Linked DNA regions of Rattus norvegicus. The protein of the gene in region 3 interacts with the protein of the main gene of each other region in a pairwise test. Links are inferred from orthologs where the notes say so. Each region holds a gene or a part of one and is shown on either strand. Other genes may lie near its edges. The genes, in order: Dnaaf4, Car8 and Spdl1.

What was found.
Region 1: the proteins of Spdl1 (region 3) and Dnaaf4 interact in binary tests that used the Homo sapiens proteins (3 or more experiments, as listed by UniProt). The two-hybrid records come from large-scale screens. The link is inferred for Rattus norvegicus from reciprocal best matches to the Homo sapiens genes SPDL1 and DNAAF4.
Region 2: the proteins of Spdl1 (region 3) and Car8 interact in binary tests that used the Homo sapiens proteins (3 or more experiments, as listed by UniProt). The two-hybrid records come from large-scale screens. The link is inferred for Rattus norvegicus from reciprocal best matches to the Homo sapiens genes SPDL1 and CA8.

Annotation. Positions count from the first base shown.
Region 1 is NC_086026.1:82,585,122-82,588,775, reverse strand, and holds part of Dnaaf4 (dynein axonemal assembly factor 4), read right to left. Parts: intron 369-3,654; coding exon 215-368; intron 1-214.
Region 2 is NC_086023.1:26,144,264-26,147,917, forward strand, and holds part of Car8 (carbonic anhydrase-related protein), read right to left. Parts: intron 3,579-3,654; coding exon 3,516-3,578; intron 2,584-3,515; coding exon 2,535-2,583; intron 1,318-2,534; coding exon 1,205-1,317; intron 1-1,204. UniProt on the Homo sapiens protein: Does not have a carbonic anhydrase catalytic activity.
Region 3 is NC_086028.1:19,791,704-19,795,357, forward strand, and holds part of Spdl1 (protein Spindly), read right to left. Parts: intron 385-3,654; coding exon 208-384; intron 1-207. UniProt on the Homo sapiens protein: Required for the localization of dynein and dynactin to the mitotic kintochore.

The DNA.
Region 1 (3,654 bases), on a different chromosome or scaffold from region 3:
CTGCATGTAAAGGTATGTGAGGGTGTCTGATTTGGGAGTTACAGACAGTTGTGAGCCACCATATGGGTGCTGGGAATTGAACTCAGGACCTCTGGAAGAGCAGTCAGTGCTCTTAACGACTGAGCCATCTCTCCAGCCCCAAAGCATTATATTCTTAAATGAAGTAAATACATAAATGTATTCACAACACACCTAAACAGAGAAACGTACTTACCTTAGAAGAGTCCTCAATGGCCTTGTGTAAGTTTTTTAACTTGAGGTGGCAAGCAGCCCGATTCAAATACAGTACTGGGATCTTACGGTTCAATCGTATGGCTAAATTATAGGCGTCAATCGCTGCCAAGTAGTTTTCTGTTGCAAACAATTTGCTAATGAGACAAAAAGAAAAGGCCAATTTAACACTGAAACAGACATGGAGAAATAACATCTACCCTACTTGGCACTCAGTCAGTCAGTTTACCATCTGCCTTGTTTATTCCCAGTCAGATGGAGACCGCCTACCACAGACTCCGTCTCTCTACATACACCAAGCAAGCACACGGAGTAGGACAGATCCTCCCACACAAAGGCAGCCATCCTTTGCAGCAAGCGTATGTCAATCTTCCTTGATAAGTTGATTTATTTAGGGATAGGAAAGGGGCTTAAACTGGCCTGAATGAAGCTGGTGCTTTTGGCCTCAAGTTGGGGTGTGAGAAGCTGGTACAACTTCTCCCTCTGCTGGATACAGAGGAGGGAAGCACACAGCACAAATGCGGCTGCTCATTGTTAACCATAGGAGAAACTAGCTACATGAAAGCTGGTGCAGAGAGAACAGGAAAGGACAAGAACCAGAGGGAACAGCTCTTCACGACACCTGGAAGCTGTGAGCTGAGTGTGACACCTGTGTCAGCACACAGGCACCACCAACCAGCCTGGTGGTACAGACCTGTAATCCCAGCTGCTTCACAAGCAGGGGTGAGAAGACATGAGATCAAGGTTTGCTTGGCTTACACAACAAGCTGAAAGTCAGCATGGGCAATTTAGTGAGACCCCGTCTCAAAATAAGGAAGGAATTGCTGCAATCCCACTCCTTGAGAGGGAGAGAGGAGACCCGGGGTTTAAGGCTTTGTTTGGCCACACAGCAGGTTCCCCAGACTGTGCCATGTGAGCCGCCTGTGAAAACAAACAATAAGTGACATAATTTTAAAAAGGGAAAAGGACAGGGGATATAGGTCCGTGTTATAGCACTTGTCTAGATCATGAGGCCCTTGATTCAAACCCTGATACTGCAAAAATCTATTGGACGGACAGAGCGTGCACAGGTCAGCCAGCCAGCATCAGTACATCTTACTAAAGGGACACATGCCCCTTTGATTTAGCATTCAGAATGAAGCAGAGAGAGGAATTCTAAATATGATTTTAACAAATAACATGGACATGGTGCTAAAGGCCTACAATCCCAGGAGTTTAGAGGCAGAAGCAGGAATGCTGATATGTCAGTTCAAGAAGAGTAAATTTTGTTGGGTGGTGATGGCACACACTTTTAATCCCAGTACTCAGGAGATAGGCAGAGGCAGAGGGGCAGAGGCAGAGGGGCAGAGGGGCAGAGGGGCAGAGGGGCAGAGGGGCAGAGGGGAAGAGGGGCAGAGGGGCAGAGGGGCAGAGGGGCAGAGGGGCAGAGGCAGAAATAGGCAGCTGTCTGTGAGTTCAAGGCCAGCCTGATCTACAGAGCCAGTTCCATGACAGCTAGGGCTACACATAAAATCCCTGTCAAAACAAAGCAAAACAAAACCCAAAAACCTAGTAAAACAAACTCCTCAGAGGTATGAAAGCATATGCTTGGGAGGTGGAGGCAGGAGAATCATTGTGAGTTCAAGACCAGCCTAGCCTATATAGGGAGTTTCAGGCCAGCCTACAAAGTGAGAGCTTGTCTCCAAACCAAAACAAGCAAACAAACGAAAGTCATGGCTTGGTGCTCTCTGGCAGTGCACTCAACTGATTTTTCCTAGAGGAAAAGGGTCGTAAAAAGGGAAGAGTGACTTTTGCCTCCTCTGCACTTTGTCAACAGACTCTAAACACCAAGTACTGCAACAGACTAGGATAAGCTGTAAAGCACCATCAGTGGAGGACACCTGCGGCTGAGAGGCCACCTTGTAATGGCAATCCTATCATCCTTCTACAGGAAAAGCAGGGTGAGGAGACTGGCCTGTCTCTACAGACCTTAGTTTATTTCAACACAGGAGCAAAGGTAGGGTTCCTGGTCCTGTTCTGAACACATTTAGGTACACAGGTTAAACTAGGTAGCTCATACCTATGACCCCAGCACAGGCCAGAGAACTGCACAAATTCAGTGTTAGACTGGGCTACAAGAGAACCTGGCTCAACAAAATAAGGAGACAGCTCTCACGATCCCCTGGGACAATCTTGCGGTTTGGGGGCGCAGGGGAGGAATCTGCAGGTTGAAGCTAGGGCCTCATGTGTCACATGTGGGAGGCATGTTCTTGACCACCAAGCAGCACTCCCAGCCTGGCACTATCATTCAGAAGACACTGTGTAGCAGTCAGCCTTGGCAGACAGGGTCTCTTAGGAAGCAGCGGACAGATTCATACAAATAACAAGCATGATGATCCCTTTGCAGGGCAAGAGTTTGCAGGTTTTCCGAAACCTTCCACACAAAACTTTCATCCTGGGATGGCAAAATGGCTCAGTGGTTAAGAGCACCGGACTGCTCTCCCAGAGGTCCTGAGTTCAATTCCCAGCAACCACATGGTGGCTCACAACCATCTGTAATGGGATCTGATGCCCTCTCTGGTGTGTCTGAAGACAGCTACAGTGTACTTATAAATAAAACAAACAAATAAATCTTAAAAAAAAAAAAGCCTATCCTCCCTCAGCTCTGGTGGAGAGCTACTGTGGGTGAGAACCACACTCACCTAGCCTGCCTATGCACAGGCTCTGAGGGACTAGACTAGCAAAGGGAAGATCCATGAAGTGTATGCTGCTTGCTTTTGTCCCCTGAGAACCATCTGCCTTTTTTGGTGGTTGGTTTTGTTTGTTTGTTTGTTTGTTTGTTTGTTTGTTTTGAGACAGAGTCTCACTAGGTAGCCCTGTCTAGTCTGGAACTCACTATGTAGACTAGGCTGACACTCAGCCTCACCAGGCTTTTCAGACAGGGTCTCTCGCTGGGATCTGGGGCTCCCAGCCAAGTTAGGCACATGTGTCTAACTCTATGTCCCATGGGCTCCTTTTTTTCCTGGATTACTCTATGAGGAAAAAGTCAGTCTGTATGTTGCCCCTGATGTGTGTGACTCATTATATAGATGGAGCTGCTTCTGCCTCCAAGCTCCCAGGATTATAGGCCTTTGAAGTATTGAGGTTTGATCAAGGGCCTCATGATCTAGACAAGTGTTATAACACGGACCTATATCCCCTGTCCTTTTCCCCTTTTAAAATTATGTCACTTATTGTTGGTTTTCACATGCGGCTCACGTGGCACAGTCTAGGGAACCTGCTGTGTGGCCAAACAAAGCCTTAAACTCCAGGTCTCCTCTCTCCCTCTCAAGGAGTGGGATTGCAGCAATTCCTTATTTTGAGACGTGGTCTCACTAAGTTACCACCATGCCGACCTTCAGCTTCTTGTGTAGGCCAAGCAAACCTCGGCGGGGGCATTTTTTT
Region 2 (3,654 bases), on a different chromosome or scaffold from region 3:
CACAAATAATGTTATGCAGACTAAATCTATGTATTTATGAATACATATGTATATATATATATATACATATTATGCAACAATTTATGAAAAGAGCCATACAGTTCAAGGAGCTGAGAGTAGGGTAACATGGGAGGTTTTGGAGGGAGGAAATTATACAGTATAATCAATATAATCAATACAAATGAAAATAATATTTTAAAAATAAAATAATACTAGCAAAGCAATCAATCTAGAATTTAGTAAACTTGAGCTTCTTAATTTCAAGAAATGATGATATATTTTTAAAAAATCCTAAAGAAAACTTGGTTCTATTTCTTAAACATTTGTGTTTGGTCATGATGGGAAAATACAGCTTTAGAGGATATGATCCTTAGATATGGAAAGACAGAAACCTTGCAAACCTCTATGCACTGTGCTATAATCATCATTTTTTTTCCTATATGAGTGGTCCTGTTAGTCACAGCCAGGACCACACACGCTCGCTCATCAAGAGCTCTATCCCCTGCCCCTTCAAAACCATCAACACATAAGAGAGGTGCTGATTCATTCTTTCCCAGCTAAAATCCAGTCAAAATTTACTGGGCTGTCTCTCCTCCTTCTTCCTCCAGGTACATCTTGCTACAGTACCTAGTCGAGTCTTAAACTCCGGGACTCAAATGATTTTATCACCTTAGCATCCCTGTGGATGAGTGTCTCCACAGATGACTTTCATTGGCATTTAGAGAATCTATGTGGAACCCAAGGACAAAAAGAGCAAACAACCCCAGGGAACAATCCAGGACTTCCCAGGGCTTGCTTTCTGACTCTCTCACATACCCTCATACATCACAGTAATTTATTTGCATGTCAAGAAAGAATACTGCATGCCTGTGAAATCATCAGCAGACTCTACTTCCAGAACTTTCTCTTCCCCATACCTGGAAACATCCATATAAAGCAATGGCTAGACTAACCAAAGTTTGGCTGTTTCATGGAAAGTTCTATTTACTCTACAAAAACTAACTTTTAGAATGCAGACCATAAATGAGCATTGGGCATCATTCATCTGTGACTGTTCTATAGTTTTCCCTGGCCCCCAGCATTTAACTTTCACCTGAAAGCTAAGACAGTCTAACAACAGGAACTAAAGCACATTGAGACATTTTCCCTTTATAGAAAGGATATTTAGCCCCGGAGCTTCACTCTGAAAGATCTAAATACTCACCTGCAGCTGGGATATAGTTAATGGGTATCGGAATAATATCCAGGTAACTCCTTCACTGCAAGGTGGAATAGTAAGAGATCCTTCATAGACCCAGTAATCCCGCAGAAGAGGGTCTGCACAAATACATGGATATGTTACGAAAGTTGATGACTTAACACTTTAGCAGCAGTTTTCAAAATGGCAGTCAACTCACATACATTTCTCAAATGGAAGCCATTTTTAAGTTAGAGCCTCATATACAAATTCTCACACTACCACTTTTGAAAAAAATAATCAATGAAAACCGTAATTAATTCCCTTTACATTTACAGAGATTTCTATCAATGGCTCTATCATATGCCTTAATGTAGTTCAGAAACTATTACCCATTTTTCATAATAGCTAATTCATAGCTGACTTCTATTGAACTATGTGTCGAGTGTTCTTTGGAATAGTATATATCAATTCATTTAATCTTCTCAACAAATAAATGTGACATATTAGCCCCATTCCATTTTATATGGGAAAACTAAGTTATAGAGTGTTAGCAATTTATCCAAGATCACACAGCTACTAACTGGTGGAAGACTTGACCCTAAATAATGGTGGTGTTTTTAAACATTCTGTTGTAGCCATCTCTACATTGCTTCTTCAACAGCACATTACTAAAACCCTACTTCTGATCAGAGAAAATAGGTCACTTATTTGAACTCCTTAGCACTGCCTAAGAGAACTGGGGATTCAATAGAGACCAAGGTAAGTGTTCAATATGTGAGAAAAACTAGTTTGTGATAGAGCAGTTAAATGTGGAGAGAGGATACAATGTATCAACGTGATTGCTTTAGTTTGAAGCACTATGGAACAGCACATAATGTAAGCAGAGAAATGTGGAAAGCAAAACTATAACTCCACATTATATTCAGGATGTTTTATATATAATTATTACCCATGCATATGTACAATTAGAATATTTAAATGGTGATGCTGTAAGGGTGTAACCTTATAAAAGTAGACATGATGTTTATTTCATTCTAGCAATAAGGTGGTTGTCTTGGAAGTGTATCAGTTATTTGATGTTTGTGGGTTCTTTACACTGAGGTGGCCACTTTGCATTTTACAAATGATGTCACTGAGAAAGTTCTTTCTGGAATAAGGAAGCAGAGGCAAGGGTTTCCTAACATTCAAAGGCTTTCCTGCCTTATCAACAGTGATCTGAAATGGCACCTGGTCCAGAGAACAGAAATTCCAAAGACATTTTGTCAGCTAATTACAGATGCTTATGAACAATCAAGGAAACCGGGAAGGTTACACACAGTTAAAGTTCATTAATGGCTGTCAGATAAATGCTTACCTGGTAATAAAGTGTTAGGATTAAAGCATGGAATTGTTTTGGATTTTCCCTGGAAAAAGAAAACTTAATTCAGTCCACATTAATGTAAAGGTTATAGACATTTCGAATAAAAATTATTAAAACTAAAGGTCTCTACACTGAAGACTTTTCTGATGATCTTACCAGTTTCCAATATTAGTGAGTGGGCCACTCTTCTCAGTGGGGTGAAATAGACTGGATCCAGAAAAATATACCTTCTCTGCGTCTATAGCTGCTTGCTTTTGAATACAAACTTCATTTATAATGCCAGAATATGCAACTCGTGTCAACTGCCCCTCAGAAACATCTTTACTAAAATAGGTGCCAGAGGAAAAGCTATTAGAGGAAGTCTCATCCTCACTTCCTGGACTCCACCCTGGCTTCAGGAGGAGCCCTTTGGCTGCCTTCCAGAAGATGGGCTCTGAGGCCTTGGAGTCCCTCGCCCCCACCCCTGGTAAGATGTTTTCCTATACCTGAAGGCTTGGGTCATGCCATATTTAAGGTGAACTCCTGGGGATTTTCAACTCCACCCTTGGGACCTGTTACACCAATGTGAGCCAGTAGGCTTATCCTGGAAATATATAGATGCCTGGCTTGGCTCAGTGTTAGAGAAATAACAACAGGGCTTAAGAAGTCAGGGAAAATTGACTAAGCAATCCATGAAAAATGATCAGTCCCTGAAAATCTCTCTAGACACCAAGGATGTGAAAGTTCACACAGGTAACACATCATGCTGGGACAACTAGGGACCCCGAAGAAACACTAGGAAGCTTGGCTCCAGGTCCCCCTAGGCTTCAAGCCATGTTCCCTTCTCTGCCTTACCCTGTAATAAACCATAACTGTTAACTTTAGCAGTTTAGCCAGTCAGAGTCCCATATGTCCTTCTAGAGAGTTATCAAGCCTAGAGATGGCCACTGGGAATTCACGCAAAACCATTCTACATTCGTTTAAATAATGATTTACCTTGTATTGGATATCCTGAAGTATCTCAGTCACAGCCTTCAAGCCAACATGCTCCTTCCCTATCTGAAATACATAAAGCACAAACCACAAACACATTTTGGGGGCTTAGCTTTTGCCCAAAATAACTACAGGAAGCAAG
Region 3 (3,654 bases):
AATAATTAAATAAATTATTACCTGTAATTAGAAGCCTAGCATGTATACAAATTCCTGCCATAGCTTGTTTCTCGGTATTTCCACTCAAAGCGTTACATAGAGAAACTTAGCTGTTTTGTAGAGCTAGAACTTACGCACCCCACGCACCCAATGCTTACAGATAACCGTGCAAGCACAGGGAATTGCACTCTGAACACAGATCCAAACCTTGTTTCTCAGGCCGTGCACTTCCTGCCGGTGGCTTCTGTGCAGCTGCATTTCTAACTGCTCCAGCTGCGCTTTCTGCTGCTGCCTCAGGGCCTCACACTCACAGCTCAGACTCTCCAACATCCGACTCTTGAGCTCTACTTCTCTTTGAAGGGCATACTTCTCTTGGTTATAATTCTGAAAACACATTTAAATGCATAAAATCATTGGATATTACCAGTTAGCACCTTAAGCTGGTTGGTTCATTTGCTGCTTTCCAAGGAACAACCACCTGTCAAGTTGGGGCTAACATAGCTAATCTTTCGTTTACTTTTTTGAGTTGGGGGCAGGGTTACATCATGTTCACATGGGGAAGCACACATGTATATGTATGTTACTGTAGGAGAGATGACAGCTTCAGGTGTTGTTCCTCGGGTAATGACCACCTTATTTGGGGGACAGAGTCTCTCACTGACCTGAAACCTGCCTGCTAACTAAGGCAGGAGGGACTGCCATGGGCTGAGCTGGGATCCACCTACTTCTGACGCTCCAGAGCTGGATAACAATAGGACCATGCTCCACCGTGTCTGGGAACTATACTCAGGACCTATGAGCCCAGACCTGTAACCAGTCTAATGAACCCCAAAAGGTGGATTTGGATCTGCAGGGGTCTCAGAATGCTCAAGCTGAAAGAAGGAAAGACACTGGTCCTAGGAAATTACTGACTTCGCCTTCCAACCTGTGGTCTCTGTTGCCCCGAAAGCCAGCAGAGCAAGTAGTAATGGAGGAGTCAGTCTCTGAATGTCAAATCCAGAAGGAACAGACTGCAAAGTGTTAAGGATTTCCTGAAAAAGTTTTGCTCTTGGCTAAATAACTGTAAGTGTAACTGTAAGATTTAACATGGTAGTAAGCTTTATTGCACATTGATCACAAACTAAGAATTTGGCTGATTATTAGAACAGTAAGTTATTTCTTATTTAATACAACAGTACAATAACAGAATCTTTCCATAATTAGAATCCACTTGAGAGACAACAAGAAAAAATAAAGGGGCCTTTGGTATCAACAGACCAGAAACACTATAACCACCTCAGAGAAACTCAGCCCTCCTTTCCAACAACTATCCATTCTGTGCTTACTCCAAAAGCTAACCTCAAGACCATCTAAAGCAAACACTCAGCAACCTTAAGCCACAGTGACAGGTACTGAGGACAGGGGCAAGTTAAGAAGAGACTTTCTTTTTTTTTTTCTTTTTTTTTTTTTCGGAGCTGGGGACCGAACCCAGGGCCTTGTGCTTGCTAGGCAAGCGCTCTACCACTGAGCTAAATCCCCAACCCAAGAAGAGACTTTCTAAGGGAACAGGTATAGGAGCGCATTCTCCAAGCAGCAGGAGCAAATGCTCATGGACGCCAGATGCTGTGACGCACAGACTACAAGGGAATCCTGTTCAGCAGATCACCTTGTGCCAGGCATCCAAGCTCAGCACTGGATGTCATTTGTACCTTATCTACCAGGAATATGTTTCCAGAACCCCCGCCTGATGCTTGGACCCATAAACAGTACCAAACCCTATACATACCATGCTCACCCATGCCCAATATGTAGTATTTGACTGAATAAAATTTAATTTTTAATTTGACAGAATAAGAGACTAATGATATAACCAATGATAAAAAAGCAATTTAAAAAGTTATGTGTCATTTTTCTCTCAAATATCTCTATACTACAGTCACTATTCTTAGATGTGAGGCAGTATAATATCCATGTGATGAGATGAAATGTGTCAGGTGTTGTGTAAGGCATTTGACATCGTGTTAGGTGACTAATGACCTCACGAGACATCAAGAGGAGCAACATCTGCTTCAGGTACCCAAGCAGGACGTAACCATTACAGATTTATAAATTATCATTTCATATAAATATCTAGAGTTGTCCATGTGTTATCTATGAACAACTATAGATAGGAGAAGTATGTCAAGTCCGTGCTGGAGGGACAGTAATTGCAGTTTTCTGTCAAGGAAGGATGAACCTCACAGCATGACGGTCCATCAATCCCTATGGGAAGACAAAACAAAGGACACCGTACCAAAGTTAAAGGACACGCTACTCCAATGTTCCTGGTAAGCATTACTATCTGATAATGAGATGTTCTTCCTTGACTGCTTTGAAAAACAGTGGGATGGGTAAGAGGAAAAATACTGAATACTTTCAGAGCACTGTTTCATTTACAAAATAACTATAGACATGGTTAAAAAGTATTGCAGTTCCGTTTCTTTTTTTCTTTTCTTTTCTTTTTTTAATGAGATAAAGCAGGGTAGAGGAGGGATTTGGGGGAGGAACAACTAACCCCGAAAACTACTGCAAAAACTACTATAAAAGGTTCCTAAGATGTATACGTCTATTAAAAAGGTATTTAATAGTGTTACCATATAATTCTGCACACCGACTTTGTCTCCATTCTGAGATATATGATCTTCGCCTTGTGATTGGGCATGGAGTACTTACTAAGGACAGCAGCTCTTGGGAAAACAACATGTCATTAGTGATGTCCACCTGCTATACTGATAATCCCGAACTTCAGTTTTAAAACTCTAAACATTTAATATTAAACTGATCTAGTAATTTTAAAACCATTTGTGTGGCAGGTAATAGGTGTATGTTAGTGCGTAAGACTAGACAAGATTTCCTCTCACACTGCTTGCAGCTCTGGAGATAATCGGCAGGAGAGTTCGCAGTTTTACATTATACAGTCAGTGTTAGCCACCATGCTTACAGGACATGTGACTGACAGTCTGTGGTTGAGGACTCAGTCAAGAAGAGTGGACGAGTAACTCCAGGAGAAACATCCAATATAAAGCCAGTATAGGAAAGACTACAGAAAACACATTTGAAATGTGCTGCCCCCTTAGGAAGAGAGCAGAACACGAGAATATACAAAACCTAGTAAAGAGCTCAGACTATACCAAAAATACAACAGAAAGCCCCATGTGGCTTTCAGAAGGGAAGAAAGGAGATGGTTTATTTTCTCATGACCTCTTGGATATGTGACGTATGAACGGTAATGATGAAAGCTGGCCACCAGTTAGAAGGATACAGCAGCTGTCCAGTGGAAAGACAGCTATGGTCTGGGCTAGAGCAGCAGTATCTCAGGCAGGTCTTTTGGTGTGTTGCTTGTTTTTTGACAAATTAACTCAAACCTAGATATATGTGTAAAGAGGAAATCTTAACGGAGAAAATGCCTTTGCAAGACTGACCAGTAGGCAAGTCTGTGAGGCATTTTATTCCTAATGACGGATGTAAGAGGGCCCAGCTCACTGTGGGTGGTGTCACCCCAGGACATGTGGTTCTGGATAGTATCAGAAAACAGGTTGGCCAAGCCAGTAAGCAGCATCCATGGCCTCTGCATCAGTTCCTGCCTCCAGGTTCCTGTTCTGACTTCTCTAGATGAAATCAACCCTTTCCTCCCAA